Regions from separate parts of the Mus musculus genome. Here all the other regions are reported to be linked to region 1. The links are microRNA targets in miRTarBase. Many come from high-throughput screens and were not tested one by one. Region 1 holds a microRNA gene; each other region holds the end of a gene's coding sequence.
Evidence for each region. Region 1 holds the annotated microRNA mmu-miR-452-3p (UCAGUCUCAUCUGCAAAGAGGU, at 2,454-2,475, opposite strand). A microRNA usually pairs through its seed, bases 2 to 8, with sites in the 3' UTR of a target mRNA and lowers its output. Matches are read on the target gene's strand: a 7mer-m8 pairs with bases 2 to 8, a 7mer-A1 pairs with bases 2 to 7 and ends in A, and an 8mer does both.

Region 2: miRTarBase lists Bbx as a target of mmu-miR-452-3p. Seed matches in the 3' UTR shown: 7mer-A1 at 1,400-1,406.
Region 3: miRTarBase lists Samd4 as a target of mmu-miR-452-3p. Seed matches in the 3' UTR shown: 7mer-A1 at 1,021-1,027.

Annotation. Positions count from the first base shown.
Region 1 is chrX:72,259,782-72,263,932 of GRCm38, forward strand. It overlaps Mir452 (microRNA 452), which reads right to left and starts at 2,527; the gene lies at 2,443-2,527. It overlaps Gabre (gamma-aminobutyric acid (GABA) A receptor, subunit epsilon), which reads right to left. Exons shown (of 9, transcript NM_017369.2): 5 at 3,962-4,044; 6 at 2,664-2,801. It overlaps Mir224 (microRNA 224), which reads right to left and starts at 1,331; the gene lies at 1,250-1,331.
Region 2 is chr16:50,194,247-50,198,246 of GRCm38, reverse strand. It overlaps Bbx (bobby sox HMG box containing), which reads left to right. Exons shown (of 17, transcript NM_027444.3): 17 at 601-4,000. The coding sequence ends at 688. Among named protein-coding and RNA genes, the nearest start is that of Gm4827, 120 kb to the right of the region's middle.
Region 3 is chr14:47,101,116-47,105,115 of GRCm38, forward strand. Samd4 (sterile alpha motif domain containing 4) reads left to right here. Exons shown (of 13, transcript NM_001037221.2): 13 at 316-4,000. The coding sequence ends at 344. The region is part of intron 3 of Gm10371 (predicted gene 10371); the gene reads right to left. Among named protein-coding and RNA genes, the nearest start is that of Gm10371, 13 kb to the right of the region's middle.

The DNA.
Region 1 (4,151 bases):
TAGACTGTACAAAAAACAGCCCACCTGCCTGACCAGTCTGAGTGGGCAAGTACAGACTGAGAGCAACCCTTCCTCCTAGTGTTGGAAGACTTGACCTTGGAGGAACAAAGCTTCTTGGGTTCTTCAGAGAAAGGCAAGTAAATGGCTATGGTCAGTGGGAAAGTTCCTGCCTGAATAGTAGGATCTTTAACACTAGAATTCCTCTAGCACTGAACCAGGGACCATTTTATACTACTTGCCAGAATGACCAAATTATTAGTCCATCTGTCCTGGAGTCTTGACTGTGATTAAAAATTTTCTTAATATGTTTGTCACAAGATGTATAGTGCTGTTTTATTTCTCATCCTTTAAATTTATTCATTCTGATTAAAGAAGAAACTTTCTTATTTATTAAAAGCTAGAAATTTGACAAGAAAAGGATACTAACATGTATTTCCTTCATTCTAATGAGTGAAGAAACAATACCAATGGAAGAGACATATCTAGGACTGAAAGCCAAACCAAAACAAAATTGATTAAAGATGACTTTAGCTCTTACCTCTTTTTCCAGATCATAGTTGGGGGCTGCACTGCTAAAGACACAATTAAAAGACTGTCCAGAGGACTAGTGAACTGAAGGCAGTGAAGAACAAGAGAAGAAAAGGAACTGGGGAGAAGAGTCCCAATAGAATACAAGTGTGTGCTCCAACCCAAGAGCTTTACATTTGATTTTGGAAGAGTACCTTCAGTTAATGTAAGCCAGGTAGTTATAAGAGAAAAGAACTAGATCTGATGGGGAAATATTCCAGAAACTCCCATTTTAGATGAGAAAGAAGAATTTCCTAATGGGGGGAACTGTCTAGGGAAGAAAATAATCTTACAAGAAGACACTGACCTCTTGATCGTGGCAAGATTTCCTTAGAGGCTCAACAGCTATCAGTGAAGGATGATTAATTTACTACAGACAAGGCTGCACTTTCTGAAAAGCTCCTGAAGCAGAAACTCTGCTTTAAGGTCCAAGGTGGGCTAAGTTTCAGGGCACCACTGCATTCAAAACCCTGAAAATTGAGTACATGTATGTTCCAGCTAGGAAGAACTGCCCTGGTGTCAAACTGGGAGAGTTGGGACCTGACTCAAAAATAACTGACAGTGGAGACACTATGAATTCAGAATAAGTAGTTTCTAGTCAAAGGAAAAGACCTACTTCTTTCTCCACAGGAAGAGATGTTGCTTACCTACTGCCATTGCTTCACCGATGATGCTGGCTCTGGGGCTTTGTAGTCACTAGGGCACCATTTTGAAACAATGCACAAACCATCTACTAAACGGAACCACTAGTGACTTAAAAGCCCCCGGGCCTTGTCTCTTCTGCCAGTTCTGATGATGGGGCTCCACCTATCTGGACAAACTGAAGTACTAAGAGGCAGGCCCATAGTTGTCTAGTAGAAGAGCAAGAATTCCAAGCCAAAGCAAGCAAAGTGGCTTTCTCAGAGCCCCAGGAAAAGGAAAAGCAGCACCCATTCCCTGCCTAGTACTACGTAAGCAAAGCTTTAGTCAGATGAGCATAAGCTGTCCCTCACCCAGTGACCATCAGTAGCAATAGCAGGTTTTTTTTTTTTTTTATGTCATCATCACACAGACACAAAGCAAAATAAATGACAAAAGGCTGGCTGGGTGACCTGCTCCATCCACATTCTTGTCAGTACATGTGAAGAAGGTCCAGGGTTGCTCTCAGAGCTACCCTGGGAAGACTCCTTGGCTCCTCATTCAGATCACCTAGGAATATAAGCAAAGATGCTCACATCTGTTCAGGAGTTACAAGTTAAGAGACCCAGAATCTGCCCCTATTGTCCTTGTCAGGAACAAGATCAGAAAATTTTCAAAGATTATGTTGATTCCACTATGAAGCCTTTGGTGAAAATACATGCTTTTCAGAGTTGCTCCTTTAAGATAATGCTACTGTACCAGCCACTGCAGCTGAGTAATTACCTGCAGACTCTCCAACCCCCACTAGTTACCATTATGACTCCAGCTTCTTGTGTAAGAATCCAGTAACCTCTTTGTACCTTGCTGGTGTGTCACCCAACTTCCCTATTTTCTTCTGTATAAAAAGTTTGATGCTCAATTTGACAAATACATTCAGATCCAGCACACTCTCTCATGTCTGTGTCTGTCAATTCCCGCTGACTCTATGCCCATCTGTCCAAACCTCTGATTCCCACAGGTTGAGGGGGGCTGATTAGGCCCAGTCAGTGGCACACTTCTACCTCTTGCTTCTCACTCAACCAGCTTGACTTGATTCAGGGTTTGGAGAAATCACCCGAGTACCTGTCTCCAATGTTGTCTAAGTAAGTTAGTGATATAACAAAGACACTGAATACAAAGGATCTAAAACCCAGAGTTAGATGAACATTCTGAAGGTTACAAAAATATATATACTCACCCCATTCTTCAAGGGGCTTGGCAAAGCACTTACCTCTTTGCAGATGAGACTGAGACATAGTTATAAAGTCTCAGTTTCCTCTGCAAACAGTTGTAACTGCTTAGCATATATAAGAGAGGAGTGATGCCCTCAACAGTGTTTCCATGCCCTCTTTACACAGCATTTGGACAAATAGCCAATTCCAGTTACTGGTGCTCCTCCCTCAGACTCTGCCCAGCTCTAGCTCCCACTGACCACCTACCAAATGGGGTAGAGATGATTTCAGTTTTGTTGTTCACGCCTGTAAAATCAAATTCCAATAGCTTCCAAGTGTTCTTCGCATTGATTTCGAGCTTGAAATTCTCCCATTTGTAGATCATTTCACTGTCATCATAGGAAACTGGAAATCAAAGTGGGAAAGAGTGAATGAGACTGGGAAGCCAAGTTGAGGGCCCCACAAGCATGGTGTTAGCCTGAGCCATGTTTTGGACTTTTGACTTTGGCTTCACCAGCTTTGAGACCCTGCCTCTGACCTAGTTGTCAAAATGCATTCAATAAGTACATTTGCCCTGGGCTTCAAATGCAAAGTTGAGTAAGGTGTGAACCAGCATTCACATTTCACTGAGCAAGGCAATATCGAACTCTAAATCTTGGGGTTGCTCTGAATATTTCTACCCATGGAACAACTGGTAAAGTAGGGAAAGATCACTTGTGGACACGATCAGAAAAGACTTCCTAGAGCATGGGGCATTCACTTTAAGTTTTGAAAATAAACATTCTCAATACAGATGAGGTTGAAGAAGGTGAAAGGAAAGCACAGAAAGGTGAATGAAGAAACAGCAAAACTTTAGGGAGAGTATCTCACAGATGGGTTATATAGCAGGAAGCAGCAGGGGTCAGGTCATGAAGGGCTTTGAGGTTCATTAGAAGGAATTTAGAATTGATCCATGCCAGCTAAGAGGAGATTTGAAATGAGAAATGAAAGCTAACAGTCAGAATGCAGAGAGGGAGGTGAGATCAATAGTGATTTGGAGGGAACACCAACAGGATGTGTGGACTGAGTAGATGTAGGAGGTCAATGAGGGGGGTGTCAGAGTTCTTGACTTGGGCAACTGGGTGAATGATGGCACCCTTGAATGAGGCAACACAGAAGCGACACATTTACTTTGGAGGCAGGAGTTGGAAAGAGACAATGAATTTAGCTTAGCACATATTCTGTTTCAAAGTGAAGATGTTGCAGAAGTTCAAGCAGAAGATGATTAAAGCCCCGCATCAAGGCAGAGATGGAGAGGAGCAGGCATACTTCAGATACACTTCAGAAGCAGGTGACTAGCTTAAGGTAGAGCAAGGGTGAGTGAGGGAAGAATTCAACATAAAGCTAAAGTAGTGCACACACAGCATTGCTGGCAGGAAACGGGGTGAGGATAGAAAATGGAGGCTTATAGCAACCTTGGCACCATCACAGGAAAAAAGCAGAAGCAGAAAAATTAAAAGGGAAAGATGAGCAAAAGAGGGGCCCAGCGTATCTCTGGATCCCCAGAAACCTAAGAAGGTACTCACAGCTAGAGAAAGACAGAGGGCAAGAGTGAGAATCCATTGGAAAATTGAGCATGTGGAGTGAGCATCTTGCATCAATGGTCATCCTGGAAGGGAGAAAGGAGCCTCATTAGGCTGGCTCTGTGTACTTAGGTATTTACTCAACATTGACCAAGGTATCACCTCTAATGAGTGGCATCAGTAGAATTTAAGA
Region 2 (4,000 bases), not on the chromosome of region 1:
GCTAAACCTATTGGCCAGTTAGTACTTAACAGCAACCATACATGAATGAGCAAGTAAATAGAAATTTGGCCCTAGTATGTATTCTGTTTTTAAAATCTTTAATATCGTGTATACTTCTAGTATTCTATATAACAGAGTTACTTTTCTTTTTTGCACACTAAGAGAAATGTGGGTATAATTATAAAGCAGGTTTTGCTGCATTTTAAAATCTTATCCTGTGTGTCCTGAAGAACTTTATTGGGAGTGAGACCCGTGGAAACACTGCTGTCTTTTCAGCTGTTTTCAGTGCTGTGTTGTGCACCATAGGCCAGGGCAGGGGCAGCCTCAGTGTGCTTGTCCGGGCATGGCAGGCTTGTTATGGTAACAAGAAAATACATTGTTAAGTGGTTGGAAGGGTCGGGGGAACACATGACTTTTCAGAAAAGAAAGAAGAGGAAGGCAAGAGTAAAATTCTAAGGACAAATCCAGCTTTAATTAAAGAACTAAATAGCAATTAATTATTATTGAGTGGGACAATGGAAAGTTCCTATCACTCATTGGTCCTTGCCTATCTCAGATTGTATGCCCCCAGTAAGTGACATTTTCCCTCTTGTTTTACAGAGGCCAGAGATCAACTCCGCTCACCCATGATGGACAGCCAAAAGAAATGCCGCAGGCTCCTGTACTTATTTCTTGTGCTGACCAGTGACGCGCCCTTTAATTGTAAAACATTGTGCTTCACCTTCTACCCTAGCCTTGTCTTTACCAGGGATGCTAGCGAGTCCATGCAGTGGGAAGCACAGACTGCAGACAAGTGCTTGGTGCCCCACACAGCCCAGAACCACTTGAAGCAGAACTTAGCATTCTGGGCCCATGTGTTGTTTCAGAAGCCACGGTTTCTGAGGGCAGTGCTACTGTGTGATACTGAGTGAAAGCCCGGTGGCCTAGACCTTTGCTTTGCATGGAAGGAAGGCTTTTGATGGTGACCAGTGGTGACTTGGTAAAAGGCTGCCTTTGCTGTAGCTCATCCAGCACCTCTTTTACCAACCAGAGAGCGTGAAACTAGTTTCATATATTATCTAGTTATTCTTTCAAAACAAACAAGAAAACCCTGACGCACTGCACTAGTTATTATTAGATATTCTTAGCCTTTTGTACATGAAGATTTAAGTTCTAAGATGGTTTATATAATAGGTTATACCTACATTTATATTGTAGAATAAATATAAAAAGCCTGTACCAGAGCCTCCCAAGCAGCACGGGCAGGCAGACGTACCATTGTTAGCGGTGTATGCTCGGCCTCGTGGTCCATATATTCTGCACTTTTATATTTGCCACCAGAGTGGTAGTGGTAGTTTGCTGGCAGAGAGAGAGAGAGAGAGAGAGAGAGAGAGAGAGAGAGAGAGAGAGAGAGAGAGACAGACTGACTGACTGTGACTGACTGAGAAAGAGAATATTACAATTCTTACAATCTGAATTTTTTTCTTAGCCTTGAGTGACCAAGAAGAATTTGCTTGGGGCAAATTGTGGCAAATATTTTCCCAGACAGGGGAAGCATCCTGCAGATTACAGATTACTGATGTTTTCATGCCTTGAGGATTCTTTTATTTTTACACAGGGGTCTAAGTGACCAATGGATCGTTCATATAAACAAACAAAAAAAAAGACAAAAATATTATTCAGAAGTGACCTTAGTATTACTTCATTATTCTAAACACATTGAAGATGCTCACTTCATATGGACTTGGAGCTTCAGACCTTTTACATCCATCACACACAGACCAGACGGGTGGTGATTGCTATGCACGGCCTAATAGGCACTGCAGGTTTTAGGAGCCATTTGGAGTTTGTATTGTTGAGGAAGTATTGAGTAAACGAGGGGGGAGGTGTGTCTGAAGCACGCCTCTCAGTCAGATCCACCTACAAGTTTCTGTTTCCTTTTTATGTTTTGTTGCTTTTAAGCATAAAACCAACCATATGCCAGTGCCAAGTGGATTTAACTGGCTTACAACATTCAACATATTGACTTAACCACCTGATGTTCACAGTGTCTTGTTTCCTAGCAACAGATGCAAAGTGATACATCAAAATTAATCTGAGGCTACAGACTTTACAGGGTATTTGTTCCATAGCACAAAGTATTTCCCCACTCTTGCATCACAGCACAAACTACCAAATTTTGATTTTTTGGATCCCAGCAATAATTTTTAATAGTTTTCAAACTGGTGGAATTTTGATAGTGCTAGCTGGAGTTTGAAGCTTTTGAATTAGATCTCTAAATGGTGACAGTTTACATGGTTTTATCTAGCTTTCTTATTTATACTTGACTGAATTGTAATGTTTTTTTTTTCTAATTGTAATTTGACCTAATAGCCATATAAAATGACTCTATTAATACTGTCTAGGTCTAGCTTCTCACGGTTGTAGATATTACTTCAGTTCCGGTGCTGGAAAATATGTACAACAATACTAACAGCATTGAAAAACATAGAGGTTTGTTTTGTTTGTTGTTGTTTTTCCAAAGCAGGTGGGGAGGGCAGCAAAGTATTAGAATTATGTCCTCAGACTTTGTTTCTTGTGGGGATGACGGAAGCAGGAAGTGGTGAAAGGTGAATCAGTAGGGATAGCTTAACCCCATTCGCGTGAAGAGCCCCAGATTTTAGCATACTATTTTTACTATGATAACTTTTAATAATATTTTCTAAATTTCAAAACAAAAACCTGAATGATTGAAAATTGCTGGGTCCTGATGTTGGTGGCTGTTGGCGTTTGGACCACTTGCTAGCAGTGATTTAAACATGATAATTAGCTAACCCCCCAAAAATAATAACAAAAATAGAAAACCAACAATTGCATTGGTGCAGAACATGCATCTTGACAATGGTACTAACTTGTTATTCTCTAGAACACATTAGAATAGATCTATTTTTGCCAGAGCACCCTCCCTCAGTCCTCCGATACATTTCACTAGAGTCCTTTAAGAGATTGCTGTATATTCCTGAAAGTTTTTTTTTTTAAGAAGCAAACAAGAGATAACTTTTTTCTACATGGTTAATATCTTACCTGGTCTGCTTTTCCTAAACCCCAATGGCTTTTACTTTAGTCAGGGTGGGAAGGGGAGGGACTTACTGGATATGACTGTTTTCAGATTCTTTAAAAACAAACCTTTTTTGTAGAAATGCTTAATTTTTAAGCGGTTAGGCACTGAGAGTAGCAGAAATCCTGCAAAGCTTTATAGTTCTCCAAGTGAGGTCTTGATTTCAGTAGCTGTGCTTCTTATGCCCCGGCTCTGCTGGAGAGGGGTGTTGGTATTTTCAGGTAACATTTGTTAGCACAAATCTTTCGGTCTGTTACGTTGTCCTTCTTCACTCTATCCGTGTTGTCATCTCCATTTCACGTCTCTCCTTCTGGAAACTGGCGTTGCTGTGTTGCTCTGATGTGTACTTGCGATCCGCCAGCAAGCACCATCCACACTAATATTCGTCTCACAGCATCCTCATGAAGACAAGTCGTTGCACCTTATGTATATCTCAAGCAAACCAAAATGCAATCTTCTGCTTTGTTCTGTTCTAAATCATTGTAGTTATATCTTTCTGAAACCATTTTGCATTTAGTTGAAATTGTCAGTATTTATGCTTTTAACCTTCTGGATTCAAGCCTGTATATAAAATGTTGAAAGAAGCCCTTGCCCTTCGCTGCAGGGCTGGGAGTGGAAGGCTCTGTCTCAGGTGCACACTTAGTACTCTTCCAGCATTCTTTAGCCCTTTATTTATTTTAGGTATTCTGGTATTTCCGATGTAATTTTGAAGTGTCTAGAGTATATTATAGTAACTAAAACTGCAGCTCTGAAGCTGAGTGAAAGAAGAAAATACTGTAAGATGTCCTTGAAGTTTTGTTTGGGTACTGTAAATGAGATCGGGAAGAGGAAAAATGTCTCACAGCCACATTGGAAGCTACAGGTTCTTGTCCCCAAATTAGGCTAGTCTCAGATGGTGGATCAAAACTCTAACTTCATTTAACC
Region 3 (4,000 bases), not on the chromosome of region 1:
TGTGGGTGTGTGTGTGTGGGTGGGTGGGTGGGTGGGTAGATAGGAAAATGAGTGGATGGATGGGTAGGTAGGGTAGGTGAATGGGTGGGTGTGTAGGTGGCTGAGTGGATGGATGAGTGGTGGCTAGGTGGGTGGCTAGGTGGGTGAATGGTAGGTGGGTGGATGAATAAGTGAATGGACAGGTAGGTGGGCATGCAAGTGAGTTAGCAAATAAAGCCTTCATCTTAGAGACCAGTATGTTGAAAGTGCTGGCCATGCTGGTAGACAGCTAGCCCAGAGTGGTTTTGCTCAGTAGTCCTCTGGTTTCCTCCACAGACGGGGTTGACCGGACCTCCACAATCTAGAAACTGAAGATGACAGTGACCGCGCTGGCCGTGAAATGGACTGCTGCGGGCCCAGTGTCAGCCATCTTCAGGGTTGCAGAGACTCTTCCAAGACACTTTGCAGCCTTTTTCCCCTGGTCCCTCGCCCATTTTGATTTTGTGAGAGCGTAGGTCATCCTTGTAAACATATCAGTAGACCTGGGGTTGGTTATGTTGTCATTTGTTTCTGTCAGGGGATGGGACGGTATGCAGGGTGGGGAGGGGACTCTCGGGGGAATGTGGGGCTGGGAGGGGGTGGAGGGATGCTAGTAGCTTCCTGGATGGAAATGGAGTGGGGAAGAGTATTGCTAGGTGAGATATGCAAGAGACACACAGGAGGGAGGTAGAAGCCCTGCCCTGGGGAGCCTTCTCAGAACCCGGCTTCACAGTCAGGCTGCAGAAGACAGCGGACACAAGCAAGGAGAGCAAGATGGCAGCCAGCCTGTTTGTGGCTCCCCTGACCGGATTTCCCCGAGGCCCGGCTTGAAACAACCACAAGAGAGGGCTATATGGCACCAAGGGCAAGAGGAAGAAATTCCCTCCAGCAAACTTTCAGATAAACTTTGATTTGTGTATTGTTTACATAAGAATTTTAAAGGGTACATAATGTGTAGAGTGTGGATAGAACTTCTCTTCATACTATGGTTTTTTTTGTAAAAGACTGATTATTGTTATGGATTCATTCTGTCTCATCTATTTTTATAATAGCAGCAGGGTTGTCTTTTAAAAAAAAAAAAAAAACGGCTGCCAAGCTCTGCTTCTTGGGAAGGTGATTACAGTCAAGTAGGCCTCAAGTTACCGTCTTCGACCATGAGGTGGGAGGAGTGTGTGGATGGGTTTGAAGGATAAGGATGTGGCTGAGATGAACAGAGTACTAGGTGTGGACACCAGGATGATGGCGCTGTGTGATCAGTTCTGGATTTGCTCGTAGGCTATCTAGAGATGATAAACTCTGCAACCTCTTTCTGGGCTGGATTTGCATCCCACGCAAGACCTGTTTTTTGCTTCCCACCCTCCCCACAGGCTCCATCCTACCAGCCCCGGTCTCCCTCCACAGACACACACGTGGATAACAGTCCCTCTAGAGAAGGAAAGACAGGGGTTGATGGTTTTCTTTTGCATGAAGCCTGACACTGAAACATCTGTGATGGAGACTTTGCAGGAGCCTAGGCCTGGGAGTCTTATCTCTTCTCACTCCATCTCTGCCAAAGGAGAATGGCCCAGCAGTAGTGTCACAGAGAGAATGCAGAGATGCAATAGGTCCCCGTGGTCCAGCTCCACCATGGGAGGAAGAGGGGACAATGGAAACAGAAGCAGGAAAGGTTAAGTTCCTGAGAGAAGTGGTTGCTCTCTCTATGCATGTGAGTCAGAGATTTGCTGTGTTGTGGGATGGTTTATCCAACCACGCACAGAAAAGAGAAAACCCTCACACGTACATTACACAGTTCGAGATTAACTGTAACACCGTGTGGGAATAGATCTATTTCTTAAGGGCAACAAAGAATAGTTCAGAATTTAATGCAATGGAGGATATCAGAGGGAATCCAAAAGAAATTATGTGCCACACTGGAGAATTAGCTGCGTAAATGTGACAGTATGAGTGAGTAGCCGGAGGCATGATCTAGAACATAATATAAGGCCTGTCTAGTAAATGGGTAAGACAGATTCCTCTTTAAAAAAAAAAAAAAAAGTGACATTTAAAACCAGACCATGCAAATGACCTTGCCTATGGTTATTTTTTTTTTCAAGTTAATGAAGTGCACACAGATTCTAAAGGCCTTAATAAAAATCCACACAACTGTGTTTGCCTGTCAAGATTACAGGTGGACAACCGAGCCGAGCCTTGGATGCTACAACAGAGATTTCGAAGTCCTTTTACAGTGCAGGGCCAAGGACACCTTAAGAAGGTTGAGCTTTTAGTGATCATGGACGACTTGGATCATCACCCCAATCAGCACTTTATAACAACACCAGAAACAAAAGATGCAGGACACTCCTTGGGTGACCCAGTCTTGAAGATGCAAATTCACGTGCAGAAAGAGGCAGCATGTTTAATTTTTATATGTAGATAGATAGACTTTTTTTTTTTAACCAAGTGCCATTAACATTCATCCCTCGTGTCCCTTTCCAAGCTCAGTGTTGGGGAAGGAGCTGGGATGGAGGATCCCATGTCAGGCAGAACAGGTTAAAATGTCGAAGGCCAAAGGGAAGGCCAGAGGGTCTGAGGAAGTGTTTGGAGGATGCTGGAAAGGTTAACAGAGAGGAACAATAGGACTCCTCATCCTGTAGGAAAGAGAAGGTGTTTAAGTCCGCTACACGCAACGCACGTACCCATAAGGTCATGGGATATTCAGAAACCAGTTTGTGAACACAATCACACGAGTGCGAATCTTTTAAGAGGAAGAAGACCATAGAGTATATTTGCAAATCTGAATTTCTATTTATTCCTTCATTGAATATAGAAGCAATGGTTATCTGATTATTAGAGATATTATTTTGGATATGTCACTTATTAACTCGCTATGGCTGGTACCCATGATAAAGTCTGTTATTAGTAACAACAGAATTCTTTTTTTAAAAAAAAAAAGAAAAAAAGAAAAGCTTATTTTTCATTGACTGTATAGATTTATCTACTTAGTTGTGGTTTGCTATGTTAGTGTTTTTATTTTTATTTTTTAAGTTGTGTTCTGATGATTTTTAAGAACCTCCCCCCCCCCACCTTGATTTGAGTCCTGTGTTGACTACAGGTATACAGCTCAATTTAAAAATCCTAAAGCAAAGAAATTTTATTTATAAAAAAAAATTTTAAAAAGAGTCGAGCAGTTGCATGCCTGAGGCTGTGAAGTCAGGCCTTGAGCAGTGAGCTGCAGTGCCTTTTTTTGTATTTACCCATTGACCACCCCGCCCCAACACAGCTGTTTTATATTAAATAGTAAAGGTTTGAAACTTTCCGAGTAAAGTCTATTTCACTGCATAGGTTCTCCCCATCTCCACCCCACCCCACCCCCGCCCCCACCCGCACCCCAGGCGCCCTGATTTAAGCAGCATGTCTGCACTGTCTGAGACACAATGCTGGTCTACAATATCATGGGGTGATGTTTTATTGGTGCTTTTTTGTTCATAGTGTTTTCTTACCAGAAAACAGTAGGAAGAAACACAAACTATACAAGACACAACACGACGCTGCTGATGGTTTGTTTTGTGTGTTCCCCACCCCCACCTGCTTTTTGAGTTTCACTTTCTTATTACACAAATCCAGCAAGCAAAGTAGTGGCCGGTGGGTCCCGCCTGCCTGCCTGCCTAGGGCTGCTATTTGCATCAAGCGCCCAGCCTGGGTTGAGCTGAAGGTCTCTTTCTGGTACCCAGGCCGGGAGCCAGCCGCAGCTGGGCCCCACCTCCCATTCTCCCGATGCGACACTGAGGGAAACCAGAGTTTCTTTTGAGGTGTCGCTGGCTGCCTTTTACAGAGTGGGAGTCTTCTCTGGGCCTTCCTTTCCTCTGTGCCTAGTAGCTAGCTAGCGCTGGTGCAAGGTTTGTAGATCTGTGCACCCCAGAGCTGGGATGAGGGCTGAGCGAGGGAGGGGAGGAAAGTGGATTCTGTTGGGCGCCCTTCCTCTCTAGCCTGAGTGGGGAGAACC